Elephas maximus indicus: one gene and its partners. The protein of the gene in region 2 binds, or shares a complex with, the protein of the main gene of each other region. Links are inferred from orthologs where the notes say so. Each region holds a gene or a part of one and is shown on either strand. Other genes may lie near its edges.

The links.
Region 1: RBBP4 (region 2) and CHD4 share a complex: the UniProt entries of both Homo sapiens proteins name them as parts of the nucleosome remodeling and deacetylase (NuRD) repressor complex. The link is inferred for Elephas maximus indicus from reciprocal best matches to the Homo sapiens genes RBBP4 and CHD4.
Region 3: RBBP4 (region 2) and MYBL1 share a complex: the UniProt entries of both Homo sapiens proteins name them as parts of the DREAM complex. The link is inferred for Elephas maximus indicus from reciprocal best matches to the Homo sapiens genes RBBP4 and MYBL1.
Region 4: the proteins of RBBP4 (region 2) and LIN9 are in contact, whole or in part, in a crystal structure (PDB 7N40), measured with the Homo sapiens proteins. The link is inferred for Elephas maximus indicus from reciprocal best matches to the Homo sapiens genes RBBP4 and LIN9. Residues at the interface, in NP_005601.1 of Homo sapiens: Ala11, Glu14, Arg15, Val16, Ile17, Asn18, Glu19, Glu20, Tyr21, Lys22, Ile23, Trp24, Lys25, Lys26, Asn27, Pro29, Phe30, Leu31, Tyr32, Asp33, Thr37, Ala39, Leu40, Glu41, Trp42, Pro43, Glu75, Pro87, Asn88, Asp89; in NP_001353174.1 of Homo sapiens: Phe107, Arg108, Asn111, Leu112, Lys114, Leu115, Lys117, Ala118, Lys120, Trp121, Ile123, Tyr124, Glu125, Trp126, Phe127, Tyr128, Leu135, Phe136, Asp139, Asn140, Asp141, Phe142, Cys143, Leu146, Arg156, Lys157, Leu158, Thr159, Arg160, Val161.

What each region holds. Positions count from the first base shown.
Region 1 is NC_064822.1:63,380,738-63,388,209, forward strand, and holds the start of CHD4 (chromodomain-helicase-DNA-binding protein 4), read right to left. Parts: upstream 3,013-7,472; 5' UTR 2,870-3,012; intron 1,981-2,869; 5' UTR 1,903-1,980; coding exon 1,803-1,902; intron 1-1,802. UniProt on the Homo sapiens protein: ATP-dependent chromatin-remodeling factor that binds and distorts nucleosomal DNA. Acts as a component of the histone deacetylase NuRD complex which participates in the remodeling of chromatin.
Region 2 is NC_064821.1:73,476,930-73,484,536, reverse strand, and holds the start of RBBP4 (histone-binding protein RBBP4), read right to left. Parts: upstream 3,001-7,607; 5' UTR 2,837-3,000; coding exon 2,821-2,836; intron 2,239-2,820; coding exon 2,091-2,238; intron 1-2,090. Other genes in the region: ZBTB8OS (protein archease), read left to right, coding at 3,947-4,082. UniProt on the Homo sapiens protein: Core histone-binding subunit that may target chromatin assembly factors, chromatin remodeling factors and histone deacetylases to their histone substrates in a manner that is regulated by nucleosomal DNA.
Region 3 is NC_064833.1:75,974,382-75,981,405, forward strand, and holds the start of MYBL1 (myb-related protein A), read left to right. Parts: upstream 1-4,023; 5' UTR 4,024-4,026; coding exon 4,027-4,124; intron 4,125-4,638; exon of another isoform or gene 4,639-4,948; coding exon of another isoform or gene 4,949-4,968; intron 4,969-7,024. UniProt on the Homo sapiens protein: Transcription factor that specifically recognizes the sequence 5'-YAAC[GT]G-3'.
Region 4 is NC_064842.1:15,977,155-15,984,741, reverse strand, and holds the start of LIN9 (protein lin-9 homolog), read left to right. Parts: upstream 1-4,577; 5' UTR 4,578-4,670; coding exon 4,671-4,749; intron 4,750-7,587. UniProt on the Homo sapiens protein: Acts as a tumor suppressor. Inhibits DNA synthesis. Its ability to inhibit oncogenic transformation is mediated through its association with RB1. Plays a role in the expression of genes required for the G1/S transition.

The DNA of each region.
Region 1 (7,472 bases), on a different chromosome or scaffold from region 2:
CCGGCCTGGATCTTACCAGGAAGAATCACTTTCTTAAAGGCTTCTCCCCAGCAATCCCCATGTCACCCCTCCAGTCAGCCACAGTTCCATTCTTTCCCTTTGCCACCTGCGTAAACGCAGGAAGTGAAGACAGGGCAAATCCATAAAAGCAAAGGAGACACCTTTCCATGTACATACGACCCCCAAACTTTTCAGGCAGATAATGAGCTGACGTGGCAAATAGCAAACTGGCTAAGATATAGAGGCAGATTTGGGAAAGGGGCAGGAATTGGGTGTGGCAAGTGGAAAAACTGGGTCATGCTACAGCTTGGGGCAGAGTTCACCCAGGGAGTCTGCACATCTCCCAGTCAACACGGGTCAGCCCCACACCAAGGGGCCACTGGGAGGCCAAAATGTGGAACCAACAATAGCTCAACAGCACTAACTCTCATGCCCCTCACAGAAAGGACAAGATCATCTACCACCATCACCAACTCACAACCCTCCTTGGGCAATAGCGCAGAAATCTGCCACCCTACCCTACACAGTGATGAGACTCAAGCCTAAGTTTTCTATCCCAACAGCTGAAGACTCAGTAACATGAGAAGAGGACACCAAGACTGACTCCTCTCCTAAGTGGCCTCAGGTTAAAGAGAAGGCTTCCAACTTAGAAAATGCCAAATGTGGCAGCATCTCTCCCAGACCACCTCAACTTCCGGCTGGAGCTAAAAGAGGGAAGGCAGAAGTGAAAGACATTTGATGGGAAACAAAAGCAAGACCAGTTTGCTCCAGAATAAGGAGAAAAATATAAGCAGGAAAGATTTAAAAAATGGCACGTAGAAAAAACAAAGCTAGAAAAAAAAGATCAAGACAACAAATAGGTGACTTAACTAGGAGCTCTGAACAAGAAAAGACAGATGAGAGAGACATCTGCTTAGGAGCATGACATCAATCATCATTTGATGATAGACAAGGGCTACTCCAATCAGGCATGGTGGTTATAACCACACGAGTTTGGCCAGTCCAAGGAAGCACCTTAAAACACTGATAGCACAACCCTTAACACCTTCACAAATACTACATACCACTATCTCAAACCCCAGGCGACAGGCACAGAGTTCTGCCTCAGAGCTTCTGTGGAAAAAGCCAAGATTATGTCCACTCACCAGGGGAGGAGGAGTGCCCAGCATGTCACCTCCCTTCTTCAGCCTCTCCTAGTACAACCTTGAGGCTATTACATGCTCCTCTAGCCCCTATATCTCCACTCAAAACATTCCAGCAATCTGCCTGGCTAAAAGCACTCTAGATCCCGGCTGAGGAGCGCAATTCAAACTTCACACAGTTGAAACATAGAAAACCGGTAACTGATCAGAAGCTAAAAATAATCAGATAGCGTAAAAAGCTCTTTCCTTCCTTTCCGCAGTAGCAACTACAGTATTCTACTAACACAGATGCCTAGCCGGGGTCCTCAAACAGAATCCCTCGACACCCCATCCCAATAGCCTCCAGGAGTCCCAGCTACCCGCACTCCTCCAAGGACCCACATATGGTAATGCCTGCCAGTCAAGAGCGCTCCCTCATCTGGGAACTGAGGAGCATTCCTCCAGAACAGTGCGGCAAGCAGGCATCTCAGTCCAGGTGCCCAGAGGCACATGGCTTCCACCCGCCTCACACAAGAGCTCTGCAAAAGAGAACCACTCCCTTCGGATGCCCTCCACCTGAGACTGCAGAGAGAGACAAGAAACTCAACCCTGCCTTACCAGAATCACTAGGGAGGACCCAAATGCCTCCTTCCTGCCCTGGGTCCTGGGGGAAGATGTTACCTGGGTGGGGTGGGGGCAGGCTGTTGTTCAAAAGTGCATCCATATCCTCCTCCTCACTGCCCGCTGAGCAAGGGGACGGGGAGCCCAGGCCCGACGCCATCCCCTTCCGCTCTTGGCCAGGGAATTGGCCCAGCTGCTCCTGCCTGCGGCCTGGGGCCCTCTACACTGGCCCGAGTCACTGTGCGGGGGAGGGGGGAGAGAAAGAGAACAGTCAGTGACGCGCAGTCCCCCTCCCCCACACCCACCCGCTCTTTCCGCCCACCACTACCACCGGCCCCCCCCCCCCCCACCCAGCCACCCTAGCAGGGCACCCGAACCACTCGGGCTGAACTTAGTTCCACACTCTTCGGGGGCAGCCCGGAAGCCAGCTCCCCAACAGGAGCCCCTAGATGAGAAGGAGCGACACCCCTGAGGGCAGGCTGGTGCAGCCGTGGGGAGGACAGAAGCCGGCTGGACTGAGCAGGGTGTGACGGGGTGGGCGGTGGGGGGCGTCCGAGTGGCCGCGGCGCGGGGGGGGGGGGCGGTGGTAAGGGCAGGAGAGGAGGCGGGCGGTGAGGCGCTCGGGGACACAAGGTCACTTGGGGGTGGGGGGGCGCCTCCCTGCGCCCGGGGAGGGGCCAGTCCCCAGACAGGGCAGCTCTCCAAAGACTGTCCTCTGGGACAACTCAGGTTCTCCTCAAGAGCCGCGAGAACGAGGGGGCGTGGAGGTTCGGGCGCTCCGGGGGTCCAGGGGCAGGGACTAGGTGCAAGGGAGCCCCCATCGGGAAGGGGGCAGGGCCACGTGTCCCGGGGGGCAAGAGAGCAAAGGGCGAGGGGGCGGGCGCCGGGCATTGTGGGAGACTAAGCCCGGGGTAGGGGGCGCGGGGAGCAAGACTCAGGCCTGGTTAGGGTAGAGAAGGGAGGGTGCTGGGCACCCTGCAGGGAAGGGAGAAGAAGGATTGGCTCCTCCGGACAGAGGGCAGTTCGCGGGTCTGGGGACGCCTGAGGAAGGAGTGGGTGAAGGAACGACCCTCCGGGCTTGTCGAGCTGTGAGGGGCGTCTCTCAGGGAACCCCGCGCTCTCCTCACCCCGGAGCCTTCGCAGGTCGCGCAGAGGCTGGCCCGGTGTCACTCCCGCTCCGGCTCCTCCTCGCCGCGGCCGAAGGGGGGAAAATGGCTCCGGCTCCAGCGTCGCCTCTTAAAGGGCCCGAAACACCGGCCGGGAAATCCCACCGCACAGGCCCCGCCCCCCCGCGGACAGCCCATAATAACCTCAACCAACTCCAACCCCCCCTTCCACTACCTCCAGCCTCCTCCCTAGGTCTCCCGGGCAACCCCCGCCCCCTCGTCGCTCAGGCAACCATTGGCCACGCCCCTTCGAGCGCGCGCGCGTGTCACCCGGGCAACCGCCCACCTCCTGGCCATCCCATAATACACACGGACACCCCCCCACACACACACACACCCCTACACACACTCCATACACGTATATGTCAGAACTGCTGACATCCCATAATATTGCAGACCTTTGCCACTAACCCTTTGCAGCATCCCATAATAGCCATCCTTCTGCCAACTTCTTCACTCTTCGCCCTAATGCTCACATCCCATAATAATTCATCACCCCTCCCTTCCCATGGCCATCCCATAATAAGCACCCCACACAGCACACCAGCCTCACATCCCATAATACTCATCCCATCCCCCCAGACATCCCATAATAACCACTCTTCATCCACCCCCAGTTTGATATCCCATAATAGTCAGAAACTCATCCCCCCACTGCAACAACGGACACTTGGCCTCCTCCCACACACACCCCGTAATAATCAGTCTCCCACTTTCCATACTGACATCCTGTAATAACTAACCCCCTGGAGCTGCCCTCGGTCCCTGCAGGCTAGGGTCTAGATGCACACACCACCCCCAGGCTTCACATTTTCATTCTAGCTCCTCAGCCCATAAGGACCACCCCTTCCCTATCAAAAAGATAGCCTATAATAGACCAGCAGTCCTACTGCTACCCCACAGATGGACACCTAATCACCCTTTCCCTTAACCCTGGAAATATATCCCATAATAATTTTACTTCCCCACCCACACCCTGACATCCCTTAATAATTGCAAGGGAGCCATGGTCAACCGGACATCATAATACTCTCAGCACAACCCAGGGTCACATCCCATATCGCTTCATCTCCACCCCACCACCCTTATATAGTACTGTTCCAGCCAGGCATCCCATGATATTCATATACCTCCCCATCTCCAAATGCTGTAAGCCTAATCTATTAACACCCAGAGCAGGCAGGGCAGGCAGGCTACCCACACTGCCTTGTCCCCGCCCCCACTCATACACAGCTTCAACCCTTTCTGGGCCACCCACACTGCCTTGTCCCCGCCCCCACTCATACACAGCTTCAACCCTTTCTGGGCCAAAGCAAGTACCCTGGCATAAAGCCTCTTAACCTGTAAGACCGTAGCTTCCATCATCCCATAATTTCCAGACACTCAGGAGTTGAGAGCTAACCTAGGGCCCCACCCAATCACACTAAATCCAGGAGTTCTCCAGATGTTCATCTCCTGCCATTAAGTTTTGAGTAACCCGAACCCATTGCAGTCTAGTACATTCCAACTCATAGTTTTGAGTAAGACCAACCAAATACCATGCCGGCCAGATGAACAATTTATATGAAGTTTAATTCACCCCAGAGCATCCCATAATAATCACAAATTTCCATCCAAAGACTACTTCTCACCATTCCAGCAGTCCTCTCCCCCATCGCCTAGCCTCCAGCTCAGGGACCATTCTTCAACACCCCTGGGCCACTCCCATAGATGGGCATCCCATTCTGATGTGAACTGAGAGCCCTTCAGTATATATATACACAAAGAGCCAGGACCTGATCTCCCTCTACTTACTATTCACTACTACTCACATTCATTCAGCAGATGTTGACAGAGTACCTAGCAAGGCACAGAGCTAGGCAACATGGGGAATGCAAAGACCATGGTGCCTCCCTTAAAGAAGCATATGCAACTAAACAAACTGTGATAGAAAATAGAAATGTCTGGTGCCAAGGGAGAACAACTGAATGCTATTTCCTAATTTCCTGTTACAGAGAATAAAGCAAAGCCCAACTGGTTTCAGGACAGATCATATCCTAGTAGAGGTTTTTGGTGGTCCTTCTAGAGGTATTTTAAAATACCTAGATATTCTAAAAGGGTTTACAGTATAGACGGATGGTCAAGATTATCTAACCCCTACGTACTAAGGGACTTTGATAGGAAGGCAATGTTCATTCACTCAGCATTCCTAATAATGAAATCCTATAATTTTATCATGTGCTTCCTTCTTGAGAGGCTCATCAACAGGCCAGAATCATTATCCTCATTCTTCAACATTAAAATTCCTGCTTACCCTCAATGTCATTTTTTAACTCCTTGCTCATTTTATATCTCGAAGTCTCATAACACAATTGCCCAAATCTCCATCTTATTGAGGCCCCATTCTCCACCAAAAAAACACCATAGTTGCATGATGTTCACTATTTGCCCCTTCCCACATACAATTTCTACATACCTACTGACAGGACTAACTAACAGGATGCCTTCCTAATTCAATTATGCCACAAGGTAAAAAAAAAAAACATTGCCACCGCCGGGAGTCTAACTCATAGCGACCCTATAGGACAGAGTAGAAGTGTCCCATGGGGTTTCCAAGGAGCAACTGGTGGATTCAAACTGCTGACCTTTTGGTTAGCAGCCAAGCTCTTAACCACTGTGCCACCAGGCTCCCAATATATATTATCCTTTTTCCCTAACCATGCCTACCTTCCAGCCACCCTGGGGACCCAGTCCTAAGAAAGCCAGGAGATCCCAATCTTAAAGCCCTTTGGTCCTCAGAGAATCTGAGCCCACAAGCCTGTCACTTTTCCCTCTTCCTGGCCCCCGGAGAAGCAGGACCTGAGTGAGAACAATATTCCAGCATCACTGCTTCACTGTCTCTCTTCCTCAAGCCAGAGATGATGTCTACTTCTGCTTCCATCTGCCTTTTTCACACAGGGCAAGACATATGGAGGTGGGGCAGGGTGAAGAGAAACAGGAACTCCCTCCTAAGAGGGGCCCTTCCTTACCTCACTCCATATCTTCATTGTCCTAAGGTCATTTCCCTAGAGAAAGGGCCCGACCAGATGGTTCTCCCCTCCTCTGGGAACTAAAGGACTGGGAGAAGTGGCAAGGAGAAATGAATTCAGGTGCAGAGAGAGCTTGTTTCTCCAGGAATTTACAATCCCAGGCAGAGCACCAGTGATGCTAAGTCTTTCCACCAGCTGCTGCCTAATGGTATAATCACTAGCATTCTATGTTTAACTCTTTTCTCATTTTAGGACTGAAGTTTTCAACATCAAAGACCTCAGGTCTTGCCAAGGACTCTCACGGCTACCTTTGCATTTCATATATTCTTTTTCCAATATTTGCTCCAATTCTCTGGACCACCTTTTTGCCACACTCATGTGGCGTGATGGCCATTTTCCCCACTCTGCTAGGCTGTCTGTAGTTTTCCTCATTACATTTTCTTTACTTCAGGATTAAGCCCCATTCATTTGTCCAAACCCTCCCCTGTGCTTATTCCAAGTACTGAGAATGAACTTTGCATTGCTCCCAGAGGGGAGAGGGGCAGCTCTTTTAAGATGCCATAATGTGAGCACACCTCCCTTCAAGTTTTCTCCTTCGTACACAGAGTGGCCAAATACCTATTATGCCCTCCTTATCCACATTTCCCTAGGGGATTCAGCCTGTCTCTGGGCCTCAAATTCCTTTCTGTAATATCTCCATCTGCCCCACGCTTTTTTCCTCTCATACATATATACCACATTACCACAGTGATTCGTAATATAAATCAGTAAGCAACTTTTACAACTGAGTACGCACAGCCTATTGTCCGTGATTAAAAATACTGGTGCCCTTTGCCCACCACAATCCCTCTTTCCCTAATCCTGCAGCTTCTACCCACTTATTCCCTTTCTTCCCTATCTTTTCACATCTTTCTGATACCACTAGGAGAAAGTTTAAATTCTTTCCTCTCTTCTTGAGTTCCAACAAGGGCTACAACATGTGTACTTATGTGTTGCTCTTGTGGTCTTTATGCCCCTCCCTCCCTACCCAGGTCCCATGCTACCTGTCTAGATAAATTATAAATAAACCACTAGTGTGATTGGCCCACAGAGACCACTGTGGGATAATCTCCTGATTAATGCACCCAGGGGGACAGCCTCTCTAGTCGGTTACCTTAGAGTTCTGTTTCCACCCCGTGGTACAGAAGAACCTAGAATAACACTCAGAGTGAGTTGTCCGTTAAGTTTTCAGCGTACGCTCTCTATTTCCTCTCCCTACACCTCTAGTCTGTGTGAAACCAAGAAACTCTGCTCAGGTCTAAGGTACTCTGCTGCTCCATCAGGAAAGGCAGTTTGGAAAAACAGCGTAGGGGAAAAGAAGCCACAGTGACAGTGCACTCTGACGGCAAGACAGAATGCAGGTTGTGTGGACTTGAAGGGTGGCAGGTGAGGCATTAGTCCTTCAGGAGCCAACCCATGTCTCTGTTCCTTGGGTCTGACTGCACACAAAAATAAAGTTTCCCATGTGCAACCCTCCTATGTGAGCCATGGTCCCAAGGCTCAAACCCAGGAAGGCA
Region 2 (7,607 bases):
GAAAAAAGACAGGGAATTTGGACCAATGTCAAACACTGCAGAAAGTTTATCAAAGCAGAAAGCTACTCAGTTGATAGTGCAGAGATTTCAGCCTTGGGGAATTTGCCTAACTGAGTGCATTCCAACCCTGGCTAATCACTACATTATTTGGGAAGCTTTTTAAAAATATGGGTTCCGGAATGATTTAGTAGGTCTGGGGTGGCTACCATTTGGGACCCACTGGTCCAAACATACCTAATTTAGAATGTGATAGTCAATCTGGAATCACTATTCAGCTATTTTTCAAGCGCTCTGAAATGTCTTTCTGTCACAAATTCTTACATGATTTTAACTATCACTGAGAACTCCTTACAGAAAGGACTCCACTTACTCCTGAACTCCCCAGGTAATTTTGACAATCAGCTGAATATGGGAACTCTTGGTCACTATAACGAAGAGCGCAACTCTAAATTTCTAGATGTTTATTACAGTTTTATGTAACTTTTTTTTTAAATGCCCTTGTGAAGGTAACTGTCTCATTCTTAAGTTATTAATAAAATTTACATGTTGAATTTCCACTAGCTGAGCTGACTCCTAGTCTAATAATCACTTGGCACGTATCTTGATTTCTAAAGATCTGAGGTTTTAAAGTAGTTTTGTTACTAAATATACAATATAATTTTGAATGTTATTCTGAAAACTGAATCAGTTTTATAACAAAGTAAGAAACGTGAACTTCTAAGTCATAGTGAAACAGTGATGACACTTGTAACTTCTTTAAATGTGCCTCTGGAAGTGCTTATTGGGGAAATCCATTATTCCAACAAGCACACCGATTTTGCCGAAACTTTAGATATCTATTATCTAAATTCACTTTCATCTTTGGATTGACACTTCCTCTCGGAAGCCTGTCCTGACGCCCCAAAGGGAGATAATTTTTTCTTCCTCTTAAGATTTTATCTGTGCTACTTTTTTTTTTTTTTTACTACTTTTAGGGAAATTATAATTACTTTGTACTGTTCTATTTTATACACAAATTTATACCTAAATTTGTACCGATACCTGGCACATATTTGTTGTTAGGTGCTGTCGAGTCAGTTCCAACTCATATCGACCTTATAGGACAGGGTAGAACTGCCCCACAGGAGCTTCCAAGGAGCAGCTGGTGGATTTGAACTGCCAAACTTTTGGTTAGCAGCTGAGCTCTTCAGCACTATGTCACAAGGGACCCTCAATATATGTAACCTAAAGTAATAATATAATTTTCTCTATTCAAGGTAAAGGTCCCTGGGTGTCACAATTTGCTCTTGTTTACTAAACTAAAGATTGGTGGTTCAAACCCAACCATCAGTGCTGCACAAAAAAAGCCTGGATATATGCTTCTACAAAGGTTATGACTGAGAAAACTCTAAGGAACAGTTCTACTCTGTAACACATGGGGTTACCATGAGTCAGAATCCACTCCATGGCAACGGTTCCCGCCCCCCGCCCTAAGTATCCTAAGTAGCTCTCAATAACTGCTCTCATCACATATAAGGATTAGTTTCAGCCTGCCTCTTTGACTATACTATGTGCAACAATGGGCTCAAACATAACACCAATAATATGGATGGTGCAGGACCGGGCAGCGTTTCTTTCTATGGTACACTGGGTCGCTATGAGTTGGAACCAACTGGACTCGACAGCACCTAACAACAACACCTGCTTCCTGAAGGCAGGTACCGTGTCACGTTCCGTTTTGTATTAACCAACTAATACCAACGACTGTGAGAGTTCAAATGTTTTGTTTAAAGAACTGTACTCATCAAAATACTTTTGAAAGCTGACAAGTTTTATGTTGTTACTTGGTCAACTACAGTTGTTTAATATGCCTACTCAATTCATTATCAGAGAAAGACACTACCCAGGTATTTTCTCTTGTCATATAAATCGCAAAATATTTTTACATTTTGCCACACATTCTGGGCTAGAAAAAATGTTGCCAATAGGTTTTGCTCAAGTGCAGGTGGTTGGATAGTGGGAAATAAGGGGCGGGGTATCTATGGAAAACCTACACTGCGAACACACAAAAAGAGATTCAGAAATTAAGTGTATTAAGAGATTTACATCACCTGGTTACATCTGGAAGCCACTGTGCAGTTAGGCTGGGCCACTCCAGAGCATGGGTCATCACCAAATCATAAAGAAAAGGGGTGTTCTTTTTCCATATTTTGTACTCCTCGTTGATGACACGTTCTTCCACGGCATCATCAAAGGCTGCTAAAAAAGAAAAAATAAATGAACTTAGCAAACGAACGGAAACCGATCACACCCGGTACCACTAACAGCACGGCTCCTGGGTTCTCATTTTGAAATGGAGATTAAGTTTGTCCAAATCCTTCCTAGGCAGAGGCACCAATTCCCCTCTCAGCCTTCGTAGGGCAGGAACTACTCTCGGTTCACTGCCATCAGACACTCCGTTACCCGTTCCGTGCGCTGGGCCTTCGGGGCACGCTCCCGTCCGCCACTAGTCTACAGGACCGGCGAGGAGGCCCGAACACCAACCCCTGGGGGTAGGGAGCGTTGCCGAGAGGCCGACAAAAGGCGGCATAGGAGGACAGGGAGCGCGGGGAGGCCGCCGGGCTGCTAGGGGAGGGATGAAACACCCTGCGGCGACCGGCACCCCCTCTGGAGGTCCTGGCGCGCCGTTAGCCCGCCCCGCGGGGACATTTCTCCTCAGGCCTTCGACGCTGGTAACCGCACTCAGCAAAGTCGGGCCTGTCCTCACTGTTAGGCCGTGTCGAGGCCGCAGCAGAGCCGCAGCTCCCCTTGGCCCTTCTAGGACGGCCCCGACACCCTCACCTTCCTTGTCGGCCATGGCGGGCAGGCGAGCCGGGAGGGAGCCGGGAGTCGAGAGTTGCGGGAGGGGCGGGGAGGCTGCGGGCGCTCGCTCCGCGCGCGCGGCCTCTATTGTTTCCTGCTGCCCCTGCGTGAGGCCCGACTCGCGCACCTTCGCGCCAACATCGGCCAATCCGGGCGCACCGAGCGGCGGAGTAGGCGGGAGAGCCGCGCTCGTAGCCTATCCAGACGCGCAGAGTTGCTTTTCGCCGGACCGAGGCGCGCGCTCCGCCCCCTCCCCCACACGGCTCAGAGCCGACTTCCTTCGTTTGCGCGCGCGCGCGGGGCCTGGCGGGAGTGCGCACGCCCGAGGTCACGTGAGAAGGGTTGAGCCTTTATACTCCTGGGGGCCGCCATTTTCTTAAAGGCTGTTAATCTCAGGATCCTCTCAAAGCACAGTACTCAGATAAGAAATCTAGAATGTTGTTGGGTTTAGTTATCAATTCTGGAGGCAATGGAGAGAAAAGGCCCCTACCGTTCAGGGCTTAAAAAAAAAAAGTTGCCCTCGAGTCGATTCCAACTCATAGCGACCCTATAAGACAGAGTGGAACTGCCCCATAGGGTCTCCAAGGAGCGACTGGTGGATTCAAACTGCCTATCTTTTGGTTAGCAGGGAGCTCTTAACCACTGAACCATCACGGCCCATTCAGTGCCAAAGCCAAAAAAAACCCACTGCTGTGGAGTGGAGTCATACTCATAGTGACCGTAAAGGACAGAGTAGAACTGCCCCATATGGTTTCCAAGGAGCACCTGGCGGATTCAAACTGCCGATCTTTTGCTTAGCAGCCATAGCTCTTAACCAGTACACCACCCCACCAAGGTTTCCCATTCAGGGCCATAGGCCGTAACTCAGGTGTCCCTACTCCCAGGTCCTTCAACTTGCTTGTTGCTAAGAACTATTGATGAAGTAAGGTCAGAAAATGGGGTCTTGGCCCTTTAAAGGTGCACTCCAGGCGGAGGGGCCTAGGACGGAAGGCTTCGGAGCTAATATTTGTACGCCAGCTCCGAAATTGGAGTCTTGGCCCTTTAAAGGAGTGTGCCAGGGAGCAGAGTCAGAGCGGAAGTTGTAACCAGATCCGAAGTCCAGCAGATGAAGGGCGGAAGTAGGGTGCCCAACGTTGTAATCATGGCGCAAGACGGGGGACAAGATGTAAGAGACTACAATTTGACTGAGGAGCAGAAGGCAGTCAAGGCCAAGTATCCTCCAGTCAATCAGAAGTACGAGTGTGAGTAGATGGCTCTCTTTTCAGATAAGGGCACGGGACATCTCTCCTTACTGTATCCAGTCTCGCCTACCATCCCGCCCTATAAGGTGTTTCAGGGATGATCCCATTCCTCCCTGCTGTAGACGCTTTTGGACTTGTCCAGGTGATGCTGAATGAAAGAGCCACCTGGTCTGAGAGTTGAGAAACGTACGCGTTGCCGTCGAGTCGATTCCGACTCATAGACTTAAGCTCCCACATTTACAGTCTTCAACTTCTTTCACGTACGGCTAATCACCTTTTTCTTGTGTGAATTTTATTAGCATATTAACTCTAAAAATAATCGTATTTTTAAGCGTTTCCAAGGGTGTCGCTCCTATGTATATCCAACAGCTGGATAGTTAGATTGTCGTTAGGAGAGAGGACTCGGCAAGCCAAATAGGCCACTTCACTGCGTTGGAACTTGGTATTTTACATGGATCGTGATGTTAGTAAATAAGAGCTGGTTTTGCCATTTAGGCAAATCACATAACTTTGCATTTCAGATTCTTCATCTGAGGATTCAGTGAAATAATATTCAATGTAAAAGTAGAGTGCAGACTTTTGAGTTCTACATAAACGTTGAGCTGTCATACCTAAGCTGTATGTAGTTTGAGGAGCACAAATCTGACTCTTATTTCCCTGCTTAACATCCTTCATTGATTTCCCATTGTCTCTATAAAGTCTGTTTACCATAGCGTGCAAGTCTCTGTACTTCTGGACCCTGCATATCTCTATGCATTTCTTTCTCACTTAAAAACCGTTTTAAAATTTTATTTTTAATGGGCGATATGTGATTCGAAATTCAAAAGGTGTAACAGGTATTCCGTGAAAAATTAAGTCCTTCAGCCCTGATCACCATCCATTACTCCTCCTCTCTAAATCAGGCATTGATACCATTTTCTTATGTGTACACGCAAAGATGTTCTACCACCTGCTTTGTTTAACCAGTTTCCGGTTGATGGACGTTTAGGATGTTTCTTCTCTTTTGCTGTTACAGACAGTGCAGCAGGGAGTATACTTGTATATCCATCGTTTTGCACACGTGCAAGTGTATGTGCAGAATAAATTTCTAAAGCTAAATTGCTTTGTCAAATTATATGTGCATTTCTTACTTTGGCAGTTATTGTCAAATTGCCCTCCATAGAGGTTGTATCAATTTTTGCTGTCACTAGCAGTGTAGGAGTGTGCGTCTTCCCTTACAACTTTTACCAGTTTTGTGTGTTACCCTACTTCTTGGAATTTTCAATTTTAGTATCTTGTCATAACAGTTGTATTTTTCTTATTACATATGAGTTGAGCATCTTATGGTATGTTTGGAGCCAATTGTATGTCCCCTTCTGGAAACTGTATATTCATATTCTTAACCTACTTTTCTATTGGGTTTTCGGTCTTTTTTATTATACAGAAATTTATTCTTATGTAGTCATTTTAACCGTTTCTTTTTATATGTAACCAACAATTCAATTAAGGTATAGAATATTTCCATCACCCCAGAAAGTTCCCTTGTTGTCATTTTTAACTTTGTTGGTAAATAAGCCACCTTGAGGCAAACACTGTTCCAGTTTCTATCATCATAGTTTAATTTTGGGTGTTTTAGAGTTTCATGTAAATGGAATTGTACAGTACGGACTATTTTATGTCTGGTTTCTTCACTCAGTGTAATGGTTTTGAGATTTATTTATTTTGTTGCTTTTTTGTTGCTGAGTAGTAGTCCATTGTATGATTATACCGCTGTTTATTCTCTTATTGATGGACGTTTGGGTTGTTTTTAACTTTCAGGAATAAAGTTTCTGTGATCCTTCTTGTGTCAGTGTTTTTGTGGACACATCTTTTCATTTATCTAGGGTTAATACCTATCATTTTCTTTCTTTTTACTTTTTAACTTGTTTGTGATCTCTGCTAGTCATTGAGCTCTCTTTGCCTAATAGTAAACTGAATACCAAACCCATTGCCATCAAGTCGATTCCAACTCATAGCGACCCTATAAGACAGAGTAGAACTGCCCTGTAGAGTTTCCAAGGAGTGGCTGGTGGATTTGAACCGCCAGCCTTTTGGTTAACAGCCAATCTCTTAACCACTATGCCTCCAGGGCTGCAATACTTAGTAAGTCCTCATGAAATATTTTTGAGTGGATTAGAGATGAATTTGAACCTTGATTGCCACCAGAAGACTATGTTAACAATAATAAAAAAATAATAATAATAGAGTTTGCAAAATGCACCAAATTAGGAATCGGAAAACCTCAATTCTAGTTAATCCACAGTGTGGTCCTGAACAAGTCACATAATCTCTCTGGATTTCAGATTTCTTCTTGTAAGTGAAGGAATTGTACTAAATGGTCTCCAAGGCTTGCTTCTAGCCTTAATATTCTATGACCCTAAGTGGGAAGAATGGTTGAAAGTTATGATATGGGTGAAGAATAGACTGAAAATATTGAGATAACAGATCCAGTGGGAACATGCTATGGTAGGATTTGTTACTTTCTAGTTTTGTTTTTTTTAAATTGTGTCATTTAGGGTGAAAGTTTACACAGCAAATTAGGTTCTCATTTAACAATTCCTAGACATTACTTAGTGATATTGGTTACGTCTTTCACAATGTGTCATCATTCTCATTCTTTCCTTTCTGGTTGTACCATTTCCAGCACTCTCGTCTCCCTGCCCCCTTACCGTCTCATCTTTGCTTTACAGTAATTTTTGACCATTTGGTCTTCTAAAGATGATTTTTTAAAGGAGCTCGTTACTCACAGGTGATATTCTTTATGAGCCAATCTGTTATTTAGCTAAAAGGTGACCTCAAGAGATAATTTTGGATTAAGGTTTAAGGAGTATCTCAGGGCGATAGTCTTGGGGAGCCCTCTACCCTTGATTGGTCCAGGAAGTCTGGACTTTTTAAGAATTCGAGTCCTGTTCCAAATTTTTCTTATTCTATCAGGATTTATCTATTGTGGCCCTGACCAGATGGCAGCCGGGCACCATCTAGTTCTTCTGGTCTCAGAGTAGATGAGGCCGTGGTTCATGTAGACTGTTAGTCCTGTACACTAGCTGAGTTTTTCATTTGCTTCCTTATATTACTTAATATGGCTCCTCTAGCCACAGTCTTTGTGACTCCCACATAAGGATTCGGTGGGATTATGCAAATAAATGGCTTGTGGCCTGTAAAAATAATGTGGTGGTGATGCTTGACTTCCTCTAACTTTACGAGGGAGAAAGAATCAAGATCAGCAGCCCAAGGCTGATTCTTATGAGGCAGAGGTCAGACATGTCTCCTGTCTCCACCATCCTTACCAGTTCTGATACCAACTGTCCCTCCCATGACACTCTCTACTTCTCTGCTAGGTTCAATAATTCATTGCAGTGGCCACAGAGAACTTGCAGACTATACTCACGATTACGGGGTTTATTAGGGAAGTAACAGGTTACAATTCAGGTTTAGGAATGCTCAGGATACAGTTTTTCCATCAGGACAGCCTCTTCCCAGTCATGCCCCAGGGATGTGTCTCTCCGG
Region 3 (7,024 bases), on a different chromosome or scaffold from region 2:
GTATGGCCCATCACATTACCCCATGAATGAGGGATCCTCATGTATATTAGTGTAATAGGAAGGATTTAGGCACACAGCATAGGGGATCCCTCATTCTTAGATGAAAAGAAATACTGTTTAGTATTAATCTTATCACTCAGTTCAGTTTAACAAAGTTATTGAACACCTACTCAATTGACATTGGTACTATAGAGATAAATGAACTCATAGTCTGTTAGGTTAAGAGAATGAATAAGAGAAGAACAGATTATACTGAAATGTGATAAATGCATCAGCAGAGATATATTCCAGGAACAGAGGTAGAAGATAATGATTAATGGAATCTTTAGGGAGTGGTAGAGGGAGGATTTAGGGAGGTTTTCCAGAGAGGGTAACATCTGAGTTGGGTCTTGATGAGTAAACAGAAATTTTACAGACAAAGAAGAGCATACTTGACAGAGGATAAATATGTGCAAAAGCACAGAGGCATGGAAAGCATGATGTGTACAAAAAATTCAAGTATATTACATGAATTGACCAAGATCACATAGAAAGTTTCAGCTGTCCTGATTCTTGATCAGGTGTTTATTCTGTTGCATTATATAGTTGTAAACTCTTGTATAAGTATTTGAAGTTACTTGTTACTTTATCCTTTATGTTTGTTGTCAAAAGCAGTTCCAGGTGTAGCACCTCAACCCATTACCAGTAAAAATCATCATTCTGGCTTCTAAATTACTATCATATTTCTCAAATAAGTTAATTTTTATAGGTACAACTAGCTAAGAGATGGTTAACTTAGGAAAATAATAGCAGAGTCACATTTGAACCTAGATCTCTAAACTGAGACCCAGTACCAACTTAAAACAAAAATTGCACATGAAAATGCACTTAAAAATAAGGTGCAGGTAAATAAGTGACATACTCATAATTACTCTAATACCTGTAAAGTATTATGCCTTAGATTAACTAGAACCTCCTCCTCTCCTAAGCATCTTGAGTTCAGATCTTTCTACTAGGCTATCTCATTTCCAATTTTATATTCTAGTAATACTAAACCACTTTAGCCTTAGTTTCCTCATCTGTAAGATGGGAATTCTATTAGTAACATAGATGAGATAATGTATGTTCAATACTTAACATAGTGCAACTTAGTGTGTAGCTGCTTATCAGATAATAGTTTTTATGAGGCTGGGTGATAGGTGTAGGACCAAATCATCAAGTTACCTTATTGTCATATTAAGGACTTTATCCTGTAGGCAATGGGAAGCCAATGAAAGCTATGTTTTGTTTTAATATGACAGCTTAATATTGAGCTATAGTTCACATACCATACAGTTCACCCATTTCAAGTGTACAACTCAATGGTTTTTAGTATATTCACAGTTGTGCAACAATCACAATTAATTTTAGAACATTTTCATCACCCCCAAAAGAAACCCATAACCATTAGCAATCACTCCTATTTCCTCCCAACCCTTCCCCTCAGTTCTAGGTAACCACTACTCTGTTTGCTTTTAAAAGCTGGGCAGAAAAAAACAGATTTATGTTTTAAAAGATCCTTCAGGTGGCCGTATGGAGGATGTATTGGACTGGACAAAACTAGAGGCTGGAAAATCAGTTAAAAGACTTCCTGTAGCTGAGTGAGAGATGAGAGCTTGCACTGGCAGTAGGGATGGAGAGGAGAGGCTAATGGAAAGAGAATAAATAAAAAGGTGAATCCTGTTCTTACAAAGAGGTTGAATTTTGGGATTTTAGCTCTTGCAGGTGGAGAGAGATCTAGTTCAGGAGGGAGGTTGGGGCTGGAAGTAAAGATCTGCTGAATCCTGTGCTTACAGGATATGATTGAAACCACAGGAGTGGGTGAGATTCCTTAGGACAGTGTGAAGTGAGAACAGAGCTAAAAACTGAATACTGAATACTGGGGAATGCCAACCTTGAAGGAGCAGGCAGAGCTGGGGGCTTGCAAAGTGGTTTGAGGGATGTATAGAATGGACATCATGGAGGTGATGTCACAGAAACTGAGATGAAGTTTCAATTAAAAGGCAGTAATCGAGTCAAATGCAGTAGAAAGGGCAGGTAAGATGAGGATTTATTTCTTCAAGTGTCCATTGGATTTAACAGGGTTTTTTTTTTTTTGCTTCTATTCAGTTATTAACATAAAATGTCTTTCAAAGGCTATGTACATCCTTATGACTTTTGCTTGATATTGCTTTCCAAAAGGATTATATCAGTTTTCAGTAACACCCCCACCGAGAAATTATTAAAATCTTTTTCGCATGGTTTAGAACAATTTAGTATTTACAAAGTGTTATTTCAAATCTATTTTAATTTTTTTTTTGCCAACTTGTGACCATGAATATTTAAGTGCTTGCTTATTTTTGCCCTTTTTCATTCATTCATTCTACAGATACAGTATTTTATTGAGCAAAATCTTGCTGTGTCACTATTCCAGGGGCTGTGTGGATCTAGCAGGGAATAAAACAGACAAAAAAAAAAAAAAAATCCCCGTATGAGAATGGTTGATACAACTCTATTAAAAGCACAATCTTTTAGGCACTTTTCAGACTAGTATAAGCAAACTTTTTGAGTATCTGGCCTTTGACTGGGGGAGGATGAGAAGAGGGACAGCTGTCTGAAAGATGACCATGGTGCATTTTTCTTGGGAAGCAATTTACTTAGAGATGTGGAGTATGAAAGTGAATTAGTAAAGCAGTTTTTAATGTTTTTATAATAAAAACATGAATATATTTATCATGGAATAGAATGCAAAATTTTACATGAGTTTTTAAAGATAGATTTCAAAGAAGTTTTCAACACTTGCTCCCAGACACTTCCTCCCCCTCCTGCTCCCCTTAGTATTCAATCCTCTCTACCTTGAGGGCAGGTACTTCACTGGACAAACTTGAGAAGCATTAACTATCCAAAACCAGCCTGGTTTATGATAGAGTATGTAAATTCAAATGACTTACCACTTTAGTTCCACACTTTGTCTTTAGTTTTATGACTAATTTATTTTGCCATGTTCTATCTTCCCGAGGAAAATTTTTTTCCTGCCTGTAAAATGAGAGGGATTTATTTTACTGTCAAAATTTCAAACGCCTGCCTTCAAGTTCTAAAAATTTATTTTGTGTAAAACTGACTATATCCTAAAATACGGCAGAAGCTCTGCTGTTAGAATATAAATGACGGAGTAGTGTATGACTAGGAATAAATAAGAAAACACTGACTCCAAATGACATTGCTTTCTAAATTAGGTGTTTTTGTTTTGTTTTTTAAAGTGGACCACCAACACAGGAATGATTTACAAGAAAAGCTTCTTTACCTTCCCAGAACCCCTACCTTGAGAAAAAGGAACTATAAGAAGGCAGGTGTTTTGACAGTAACTTGCATGCAAGCTCCTCTTAATTCACATTTGCACCTGCATCTCCGATTTGCAAAAGATGACGCGTGAAATGTCAAAATAGCAAAATGCCAGTTAATGTTACAATATTAATATGTGGTTCAGTGCTCTATGCAGTAGAGCATGTTGCCTTGCAAATTTGGATCCTTGGCCATTTCTGATCGTTAATATAGTTAATCTACTTGATTTGAGCAATTCGTAGCTACTGAACTTGGAACCTCTGCTAGAAGTTTCTCTAATGCAGCTCCTTTCCCTCTGTCTCTTGCGGAAGGACGGTCACTTGTTGACTACCGTACTCATCAGGCAAAGCTACTCTGAATCTGGGCGAGATTCCCAGCGCACTGCTGTCTCCCTGCATGTTCCTCCCGGTCTAGGGCTCCTCCACGATGCACACCGAATAACTCCTGTACAGCGGGGTTGGAGATTAAGCACTTTAAAGACCAGCCGCAGATGAATTACTTCCCTTTCCCGTTCTAAACACGTTTCCTGATGAAAACCTTTTTTCACCTGTCCCACTCCTGCCATGTTGGGGGGAAAAAATAGGTGAAATTCGGTTTCCTGCCACAATCTTCGCCACTCCCGTAACTATGATGTCTGGGCAAAGACAGCTTAAATGTTTGCTTAAAAAATAACGGCCGCGTAGGTTTATGGTCAGATTCATCTCAAGTCTGAAGACTTCACCTCCTATTGAGCTGGGATACACCCAAGGAGGGAAGAACGGAGACGGAGAAGCGGCTGCAAAGAGGTACACCGGCCCACCCGCGGGGCCGCCCGCCCGGGCAGTTGGCGGCGGCTGGGGCTGACGCGCCCCGGCTTCCGACTCAGCCCTCGGCGAGCGCAGGAACTCGCTTTCCCAGCGGGCCGCGCGCGGCCCTCGAGGGCCCGCCCCCTCGCGTTGCTGCGCTGGGCGCGCTCCGGTTCCTGTCACAGCGCGGCCCGCGCGCCCCTCGCGGCCCCACCCCCAGCTCCCGGCTCCTGCCCCGACTCCCGCGAGTTCCAGTCCCAGTTTCCAGCTCCCCTCCCCGCCCTCAGTCGCGCGCGCTCTCCCCGCCCCACCCTTCCCCCTCCCCCCGGCTGCGGCCGCCACAGCCAATGAGGTTCGGGGCCGCGTGCGCAGATTCAAACGGCGGCTCTTGAGGGAGGCTGGGCGCGAGATTCGGCGGTGCGGACAAAACCCTGCAGGAGGCTGCGAGCCCTGCAGAGCTGCTCGCTGCGGGGCGGGGCGGGGCGGGGGTCGTCGCCCTCTGCGGAGCCGCGCTGGGACTACAGCGAGGAGGCTGAAGGGCGGCGGAGGGACAGGCAGAGGGCGAGAGCGCGCCTCCTGATATGTCGGGGCATCCCTGACCGGGCAGGGCTGGGCTAGGAGCGGGGCTGCGGGTCCGGGCGGGTCGCGGTCCGCCCTTCTGTCCCTCCGTCCTGCCCTGCGGGGACGTGCGTTCCGCGCTCGGCAGCTCCGGGGAGGGTGCGAGGGAAGTTAGCGGGAAGGTCGGGGAGAAGGAGCATTCGCCTGAGGCTGGAGGAGGCTGAACTGCGTCTCCGCCCAGCCCGCGCCTATGCGGTACTTGAAGGATGGCGAAGAGGTCGCGCAGGTGGGTGACATCCCCTTTGCCCAGGCCTGGCGGCGCCATCTGGCTTAGATTCCCTCTCCCGTCCCCCCGTCCCTCCCCGGGCTCTCCCCAGCCGGGGTAGAGTTTGCCTGCCCGTTGCCCCACAGCCGCTGCGGCCCCTCTGTGGGGAGGCCCCCGCGGCGTGTGGAGAGTTGGGGACCACTGTGATTAAAACACAGAAATGGAGTAACAGCTGCCCAGGTTGCTCCTTTGAGCTGATCCTCCCCGCAGCGCGCGTCCAGCCCCCTAACTGCTCAGAGCCATTTCTCGGTGGGAAAGGGTTTCTGGCCAGGTAAGTCTGCGCGCTTTCAGGGGACAGCTACGCAGATACAAACGGCAGTGTCCTGCCTGGAGGACTGGAACACGGGGCTCAGAGGGACTCTCTTTTCTGAATCACTGTACCCGTTAACTAGGAACTTCTTGATAAACCTGGGCGGGGACCCCACTCTCAACTTGGCTACCTTGAAAGGTATGGAAAATTCTCCGAGGAATAGCTGAAGAGAAAGTACCTTTCTCCTGTTTTCTGTAATCATTCGTACCCATGCTCTCAGCTTATGTATATTTTAAAATATTTTCTACTGGGAGGATGTCACATCGTTACTATCAGTAGCTTGTGCTTAAAATAAAACAATGTATTTCACTCACGTAATATTTTGAGTGTCCGTGTTTGGTTCTGACTGTACCTATGTGTTGCACAGAGATAGGGCACATTTTTTTTGTTGTTGGAAAATGCTAGGATAAATTTATACATCTAATTTTTATCTGTGTATGACTATAGTAAACAAAAACAAAAGCCAATTACTATAGCAGCTACTTCTAAATTGTGTGGAGTAACCACTTAAATGATGGAAACAGAAGAACCCTGGGTGTTTTTTAATTTGCAGTATCATGTAAACCTGAAAAGATGTTTGGCATAATTTCACAATGTTTTTATTTATCTAGATCCACAGCCTTCTTAACTAGAGATGTGTTTCTTCAGCCGAAATTTATCACTTGGATTCATTTACTGAAGATTCTTAAAAACTCAAAATTGGAAGTAACTACACATATTGTGCTTTATTCATTTGTTAAGCACCAAGTATGCACAAGGAGCCCTGGTGGTGCATGGTTAAGAGCTCGTTTGCTAACCAAAAGGCTGGCAGTTCAAATCCATGAGCTGCTCCTTGGAAGCCCAACTCTGTGTTACTCCAACCTACAGGGTCTGGATATGAGTCGGAATCGACTTGATGGCAGTGGGTTTGGTTTAGGTTCTAGTATGCACAAAATATTTTGCAGAAATCAACATAAACTGTAAACTAAGTCCTTGTTTATTATTTTGTAGCAACTACAGTATAGGGCAGACCCTTGAGCTGGAACAAATGTATACACACACATACACATGAAAAACCCACTTATCCAGAGCAGGATTTTCAGCCTTACTGCTATTGACATTTTGGATGAAATGACTCTTTGTCCTCGGGGGCTGTTCTCCGCATTGTAAGATTCTTAACAGCATCCCTGGCCTCTACTCAGTAAATAAATGCCAGTAACAAAAAATGTCTCCAAGACATTGCCAAATGACCCTTGAGGAACAAAATCACCTCTGGTTTAGAATCCACTGTTCTAGAACTTCAAGGACCCAGTTAACCTCTTGATCTTCAGAAAAGAGATTTTAAAAGGTCCTGTAATGATGATTACTGAAGTACTGGTTTAGGCCTTTTCATTTGAACTTTTAAATACAAACAATTCGTAAATAAAGTAACTTCATTAAGCAGGGTGACAAGTGAAAATTTATGTCAACTCAAAAGTTTTTATCTTCAGTGTGTGGCATTATCTACCTATTAGTATTGTTGTTGATTTTTCTTGGCTAATGCTGTTCCCAGCACTTAAAGTTATGGTTAGACACGGATGTTTGAATGTCAGAACCCTCTCCTCCCTAACCGGTTCTCTGTCCATTTTATAATCACATATGTTGTTTTCTGTTACTGACAATTCTGTGAGCTTTGAAACCTAAACATATATTGCACTGTTGATTTTAATTCTTTGTCAGCTACATATA
Region 4 (7,587 bases), on a different chromosome or scaffold from region 2:
CTCCCTCACCCTCACATCCAGTGAACTGCCAAGCCTAACTTTTTCACACCTCTTGAGGTTGATCAAATGTGCAATCAGGATGCACTGATAATTACTAGTGATTGGAATGCAAAAGCTGGAAACAAAGAAGAAAGATCAGTTGTTGGAAAATATGGTCTTGTGATAGAAATGATGTTGGAGATAGCATGATTGAATTTTGCAAGACCAACAACTTCTTCATCGCAAATACCTTTTTTCACCAGCATAAACAGTGACTATACAATGGACCTCGCCAGATGGAATACATGGGAATCAAATCAACTGTATCTGTGGAAAGAGATGATGGAAAAGCTCAATATCATCAGTGAGGACAAGGCCAGGGGCTGACTGCAGATCAGACCATCAACTACTCATATGCAAGTTCAAGTTGCAACTGAAGAAAATTACAACAAGTCCACAAAAGCCAAAGTACAAACTTGAGTATATCCCACCTGAATTTAGAGACCATCTCCAGAATGGATTTGATGCACTGAACACTAATGACCGAAGACCAGAGAAGTTGAGGAATGACATCAAGGACATCATACATGAAGAAGGCAAGAGGTCATTAAAAAGACAGGAGAGAAACAAAAGACCTAAATGGATGTCAGAAACTCTGAAACTTGCTCTTGGACATTGAATAGCTAATGCAAAATGAAAAAATGATGAAATAAAAGAGCTGAATAGAAGATTTAAAAGGGTGGCTCGAGAAGACAAAGTAAAGTATTATGATAACATGGGCAAAGACCTGGTGTCTTAGTCATCTAGTGCTGCCATAACAGAAATACCACAAGTGGATGGCTTTAACAAAGAGAAATTTGTTTTCTCACGGTAAAGTAGGCTAAAAGTCCAAATTCAAGGAATCAGCTCCAGGGAAAGGATTTCTTTGTCAGCTCTGGAAGAAGGTCCTTGTCCTCAATCCTCCCATGGTTGAGGAGCTTCTCAAGCACAGGGACCCCAGGTCCAAAGGTGGTGCTCTGCTCCTGGTGCTGCTTTCTTGGTGGTACGAGGTCCCCCACTCTCTGCTTGCTTCCCTTTCCTTTTATCTCTTGAGAGGGAAAAGGTGGTGCACGCCACACCCCAGGGAAACTCCCTTTACACTGATCAGGGAGGTGACCCCTGATCAATCCCACTCTAATTGCATTAACATAAAATTACAATCACAAAATGGAGGACAACCTCACAATACTGGGAATCATGGCCTAACCAAGTTGACACATATTTTTTGGGGGACACAACTTAATCCATGACACCTGGAGATAGAAAACCAAAAGGGAACACGTTCAGCATTTCTCAAGCTGAAAGAACTGAAGAAAAAGTTCAAGCCTTGAGTTGTAATACTGAAGGATTCTATAGGGAAAATATTAAATGACACAGGAAGCATCAAAAGAAGATGGAAGGAATACACAGAGTCACCATGTCAAAAAGAACTGGTCAACATTCAACCACTTCAGGAGGTACCACAGGAGCAGGAACCAATGGTACTGAAGAAAGAAGTCTAAGCTTAAGGCATTGGCGAAAAACAAGGCTCCAGGAATTGACAGAATACCACTTGAGATGCTTCAACAAACGGATGCAGCAATGGAAGTACTCACTTGGCTATGCCAAGAAATTTGGAAGACAGCTACCTGGTCCACTGACTGGAAGAGATTCATATTTATGTCTATTCCCAAGAAAGGTGAGCCAAACAAATGTGGAAATTATTAAACAGTATCATTAACATCATAACAAAACAAGTAAGTAAAATTTTGCTAAAGGTCATTCGAAAGCAGCTGCAGCAGTATATCGACAGGGAACTGCCAGAAATTCAAGCAGGATTCGAAAGAGGACGTGGAACCAGGGATATCATTGCTGATGTCAGATATCCGGATCCTGGCTGAAAGCAGAGAATACCAGAAGGATGTTAACCTATGTTTTATTAACTACGCTAAGGCATTAGACTGTGCAGATCATAGCAAATTATGGATAACATTGCAGAGAATGGGAGTTCCAGAACACTTAATTGTGCTCACGAGCAATCTGTACACAGATCAAGAGGTAGTCATTTGAACAGAACAAGGGCATACTGCATGGTTTAAAGTCAGGAAAGGTGTGTGTCAGCATTGTATCCTTTCACCATACCTATTCAATCCGTATGCTGAGCAAATAATCTGAGAAGCTGGACTACAGGAAGAAGAACAGGACATCAGGATTGGAGGAAGACTTATTAACAACCTGGAATAGGCAGATGACACAACCTTGTTTGCTGAAAGTGAAGAGGACTTGAAGTACTTACTGATGAAGATCAAAGACCACAGCCTTCAGTATGGATTACACCTCAACATAAAGAAAACAAAAATCCTCACAGCTGGACCAATAAGCAGTATCATGATAAATGGAGAAAAGATGGAGGTTGTCAAGGATTTCATTTTACTTGGATCCACAAGCAACACCCATGTAAGCAGCTGTCAAGAAATCAAAACAGGCATTGGGCAGATCTGCTGCAAAAGACCTCTTCATGTGTTGAAAAGGAAGAGGTCACCTTGAGGACTAAGGTGCACCTGACCCAAGCCATAGTGTTTTCAATTGCCTCATATGCATGAGAAAGCTGGACAATGAATAAAGAAGACTGAAGAACTGAGGACTTTGTGGTGTTAGAGAAAGAATACTGAATACACCATGGACTGCCAAAAGAACGAACAAATCTGTCTCGGAAGAAGAGCCAGAATGCTTCTTAGAAGCAAGGATGGCAGGACTACCTATCACATACTTTGCATATGTTATCAGGAGGGACTAGTCCCCAGAGAAGAACAACATGCTTGGCAGAGGGTCAGCGAAAAAGAGGAAGACCCTCAATGAGATTGATTGACACCGCGGCTGCAACAATGGGTTCAAGCATAGGAACAATTGCAAGGGTGGCGCAGCACCGGGCAGGATTTTGTTCTGTTGTGCATAGGGTAGCTATGAGTGGAAACCGACTCAAGGGCACTTAATGGCAACAATTTGAGAGGTGGAAGCTTCCTGTTCCTCCATCTCTGTTGATACTTCCTATTCAGTAGTAGCGGTAGCAGCAGCAGTAGCTAACGTTTGAGTCAAAACGAGTGCTACGTACTATTATAAAGGCTTTACATCTATGAAATCATTTAACCCTCACAACAACCCTGTTATTATCTGCATTTCACAGATGAGAAACTGAAGCATGGAGAACTAAATTAAGAAACTTGGTTCCAGATTACACAGCTAGCAGCCGGAATACCAACCCAGGCCTTCCAAACCTGTGCAGCCACTAGTACAGACATCTCTCTCCTCTCCTGTGCCTGCCCCAACAGGCTTCCTCCTGACTGGTTTCTAGGACTCTCATCTTGTCCCCTGCCAATCCATGTTCCATATTTTTGTTCTAAAACACAAATGGAACCATGCTACCAAAGACTTCTCTGCGTGCCTCCAGTGCTCTTGGCAAGTCCAACTCCTTAGCCTGGGCTGGCATTTGTGTACGATTCGGTCCTCATCTTGGTCTACCATTTTTTATTTCCTGGAATTCATCCATCCTGTATTTTCACTGTTTGTCTCCCTTCCTCCCCCACAACCTCCTTCCTCCAGAAGTTCCTGGAAAGGACTGGAGCTCGGTAACATTTAAGCGAATTGTTGAAAAGCAGCGGTGGTTTATCACTGGACAGTTTTACAGACAGGAATTGTGAAATCATTCTCTGGGCTTCTTTGAAAACGGTGAATCCTCATCCAGGAGTCTCTCCAAGTTTTGATCAGGGTACTCCATCACCTTGTAGTATCACTATTGGTTTCTGTCTGTATCCTCAGGAAACCTGTTATTCATGTTATTCGTGTTGTAACTCTCTCCCAGCTCGCTGTATGAGCCAGGGCAGAATGGATGAAGGCGCTGAGCAGAACGATTCGTAGGGGCCGGCCTAAACGATTAACTTCATGACCTCTCAAGGTCTCTCTCCTAGGCTCCGTGCAGCGCAGGTTCCAACAGTCGGGAGGAGGTCCCCGGCTCGAAGGGGGCCGCAGGGATCCCGAATTCTGGGCGGACACTGCGAGGCAGCTGCGGCCTGAGTGCACGAACCACTCCTCCGTAAAAAAGAGTGGATGAAGGCGCAGGAGAAATGTGGGTTTTGGGAACTCTGAAAAATACACTCCGAGTGGAGCCCCTCGGGCAACGTGACCGAGAACCAAGGGCTTCTCTGGCCACGCCAGGCCCACAGGTGCCTCCTCCCGGCCCCCGCCTCAGCCTGCCGGGGCCTCCCTCCCACCTTCCCTTGCTTTCCCCTCCTTGGAACACACAGCTTGCAGTTCCCGCGGCTGCAGCGCGAGACAAGAAACGCGCGCCGGGAGCGAGCCCCGGAGGGGGCGGGCGGCGCGGGCCAGGAGTGGGGCCCGGGCGGGACTCGGGAGCTCGCGCTGCTCCCCCCGCGCTCCGGCGCCGGGCCCGGGCAGGGGAGGTGCGCGACGGGCCTCTCCGCGCCATCTCCCTCCTCCCGCCCTCCGGCCCGGCCCGGGGCGCAGGCGGAGGGGCGAGGCGCGGCCCCACCTCCCGGGGCAGGCGCGGGCGGAGCCCGGCCCACCTCAGCCCGCCGCGGCGGGAGCAGCGCGGAGCGGCGCCGAGGGCAGCGAGCTCGCATTCGAACCTCCCTCGCAAAGACAGTCTCCGCCCCACAATGCACCGCGGCGGGCAGCCTTTGAAAAAGCGGCGCGGCTCGTTCAAGATGGCGGAGCTCGACCAGTTGCCTGACGAGAGTGAGTAGCACCTCAAAACACCCCCCCTTCTTCCTCCCGGCCGCCCGCCCCGAAGCTTTCCGGCCAGGAGGGGCCGCCGTGCCCTCCGCCGGAGGGGGGACTGACTGCCAGCCCCACCGTAGTCCTCCTAGTCCCTCCACTCCGGTGTTGCCGCCGTGTCGCCGCCTTTGTTATGGTGTCTGTGTGTAGGTTTCTGGGGTTGTGTGAGCGCCAGGGCCGGAAACCGAAAGCTCAGGAGTCCAGCCTATGCCGGGAGGAGGCGGCGGCTGCTCCCCTGGCCGGACTCGGGCCACCCGGCCGAGGTGGAGGAAGAGCGGCCCCGGTGCGCGGGGGCTGCCCTCGCCGCCTGCACCAGTCACCGGGCGCGGAGAGACGCCTGCCGGGGTTATGTAACTCGCCTGTCCCGGGGCCGGGGAGGGTTCGCGCTCGGGAGGGGGTGGTCACAACCCCGGCTTCTTGCCTCAGCCTCTGATCTTGTCCCGTCTTAGTTCCTGCCTCTATGGGCACTTGTGATCGTCCCTGTCCCTCCTCCCCACCGGTGTGTCCACCTCTAGAAGTGTTTCCGTGTCAAGAGGCTAGCCCCTTCCCCTGGGACCACAGGTGGCTGTGGACCCTTCCAGAGGTAATCCAGACTGGATACACAAGCATTCAGGTAGCCTCCATCCCACAGACTTTCCTCTGTGTGTGTGTGTGTGTGTCCTTAAGAGTCATGGGAGTACCTTGTACACAGGGATGTGACCAACACAGCATACATATAGTACTCTTCCTGACACCCGCCCCTGTGCAGGGCTCACTAACCATGACTACTCTGCCATCCATGGGATCTCTGCAACATACCAGCTCACATGTGTTTACTAAGTAAAAGCACCAACTCCATAGTTCAAAGCACAGTGGAACTTCATTTTGTAATTTTAAAAATCGCACAAGTTATGTAAAAAGGCAAGTATTTTAGCAAAGTACAAAAAAGGTCCTGAGTCCACACTCATTATTCAGTTTATGTGTATGTATCATTCGTCAGAGTTTTAGTATAATAAAAAGAAGGCTCAATCACTGTAAAATCATTTGTGAAAAAGGCAAATAGGCTTAAAATGAGAGCTATATACAGCCAATTCTGTTTTCTTTATGGGGTTGTATATCCTTAATGCGCTATAAAGTAAATAAAAAGCTCAAGTTGTAGTGAAAAGTTGTATTAAAAAGAGTTTGTGTTTTTAATTTGCTCTAGATCAGCGCTAAGTTCCAATAGAACTTTCTCAGTGATGGAAATGTTCTATTCTGTGATGTTCAATAGGGTAGCCACTAGTGACATGTGGTTATGGAGTACTTGAAATGTGGCTAGAGGGACTGAGGAGCTGAATTTTAAATTGTTTAATTAAGCTTAAATAGTCACATGTGGATAGTAGCTCTAGCCTGTTTGTGAGTTTTGTTTCTTGATTGGAGAATACAGTTCATTGTGACTTAGGATGCTACCAAGTAAGAATGGGCCTACTAAGCACAACCTAGTTCTTATCTGGAAAAAGTTTTTTTTTTTTTTTCTTTCCATCCTCATCATCTTTACTGTAAAGATGACTTACCCCTTTTAGAATTTTTCTTTTTTTGGTAGTCATTCTGTTGAATAAGAGGTATTGTAAGTGGCTTTCAGTATACCTCTCATTTGGAATATTTTGCTTCATCTACATCATCAAATATTTATTGAGGACTTCCTATTGTTCTTTGAAGGAACCTGGGAGTCATGTCGTTGTTAGGTGCCATCTAGTTGACTAGTTGATTTTGACTCATTGCGACCCCATGTGACAGAGTAGAACTGCCTCATAGAGTTTTCTAGGCTGCAATCTTTATGGGAACAGATTGCAGCTCCACTCTCAAGCTGTATGACCTGATCATTTTTATTAGTTTGTGACATCTCTGGTATATTGTGTGTATGTGTTGTATAACTTGTTGAAAGCAGGGATTGCCTTACCTGGTTTGTCACACTGCCCTGAATCAAGTATACAGAAGCACCTCATTTATATGAAGAGGCATTATTAATGAAACCGGGCAGGGTCTTGAGAAAGAAAAGAGATTTCGGTTTGATACTGGAAATAACAAGTTTCTTTGCCAAGTTTAGGCAAGGCGACTAATAAAAAATATATTAGCTTAAAAAAAAAAACCATTGCCCCTGAGTTCATTCCAATTCATAGGGACCCTACTGGACAGAGTAGAACTGCCTCCTAGGGTTTCCAAGGAGCGCCTGGTGCATTTGAACTGCCGACCTTTTGGTTAGCAGCCGTAGCTCATAACCACTACACCACCAGGTATTAGCTAATAACCAACATAAAATTACCAACAATAAATGCTGCCATTGAGTACTTGCTGGGTACCGACACTATGCAAAGCATTTTACATATATTTGTTTAACCTTATTTCACTTGAGGTAAGTACTTTTTTAAGAGTTTGATTTTCTGTATGAGGGAACTGAGGCTATCTTCAGCCCAGATCTTTCCTCTAAGCTCTTGCACTTAACATCTGTTACCTATTTCACATCTTCTCTTAGATGCCTCAAAGGCCCCTCAAACTTCACAGGTTCAAAATATAACTCATAACCCCACTCCAGGACAGAGATAATTTTAGTGGTTTCTCTCTTAATGAAAGCTCTTTTATTTATCTGGTAGAGGTCATCTTTGGCACTTCCCCCTTTCACTTCCCATATTTAAGCCTTTACTGTAACTTTTACCTTTTAAATGTCTCTCAAATCTACCTACTTTTCACCATCAGCCTAGCCCAAATTGTCACCATCTCATCTGATCACTTCAGCCTTCAATTAATCCAACTCTTCCAGGCACCGTGCACACCCCTCCCCCC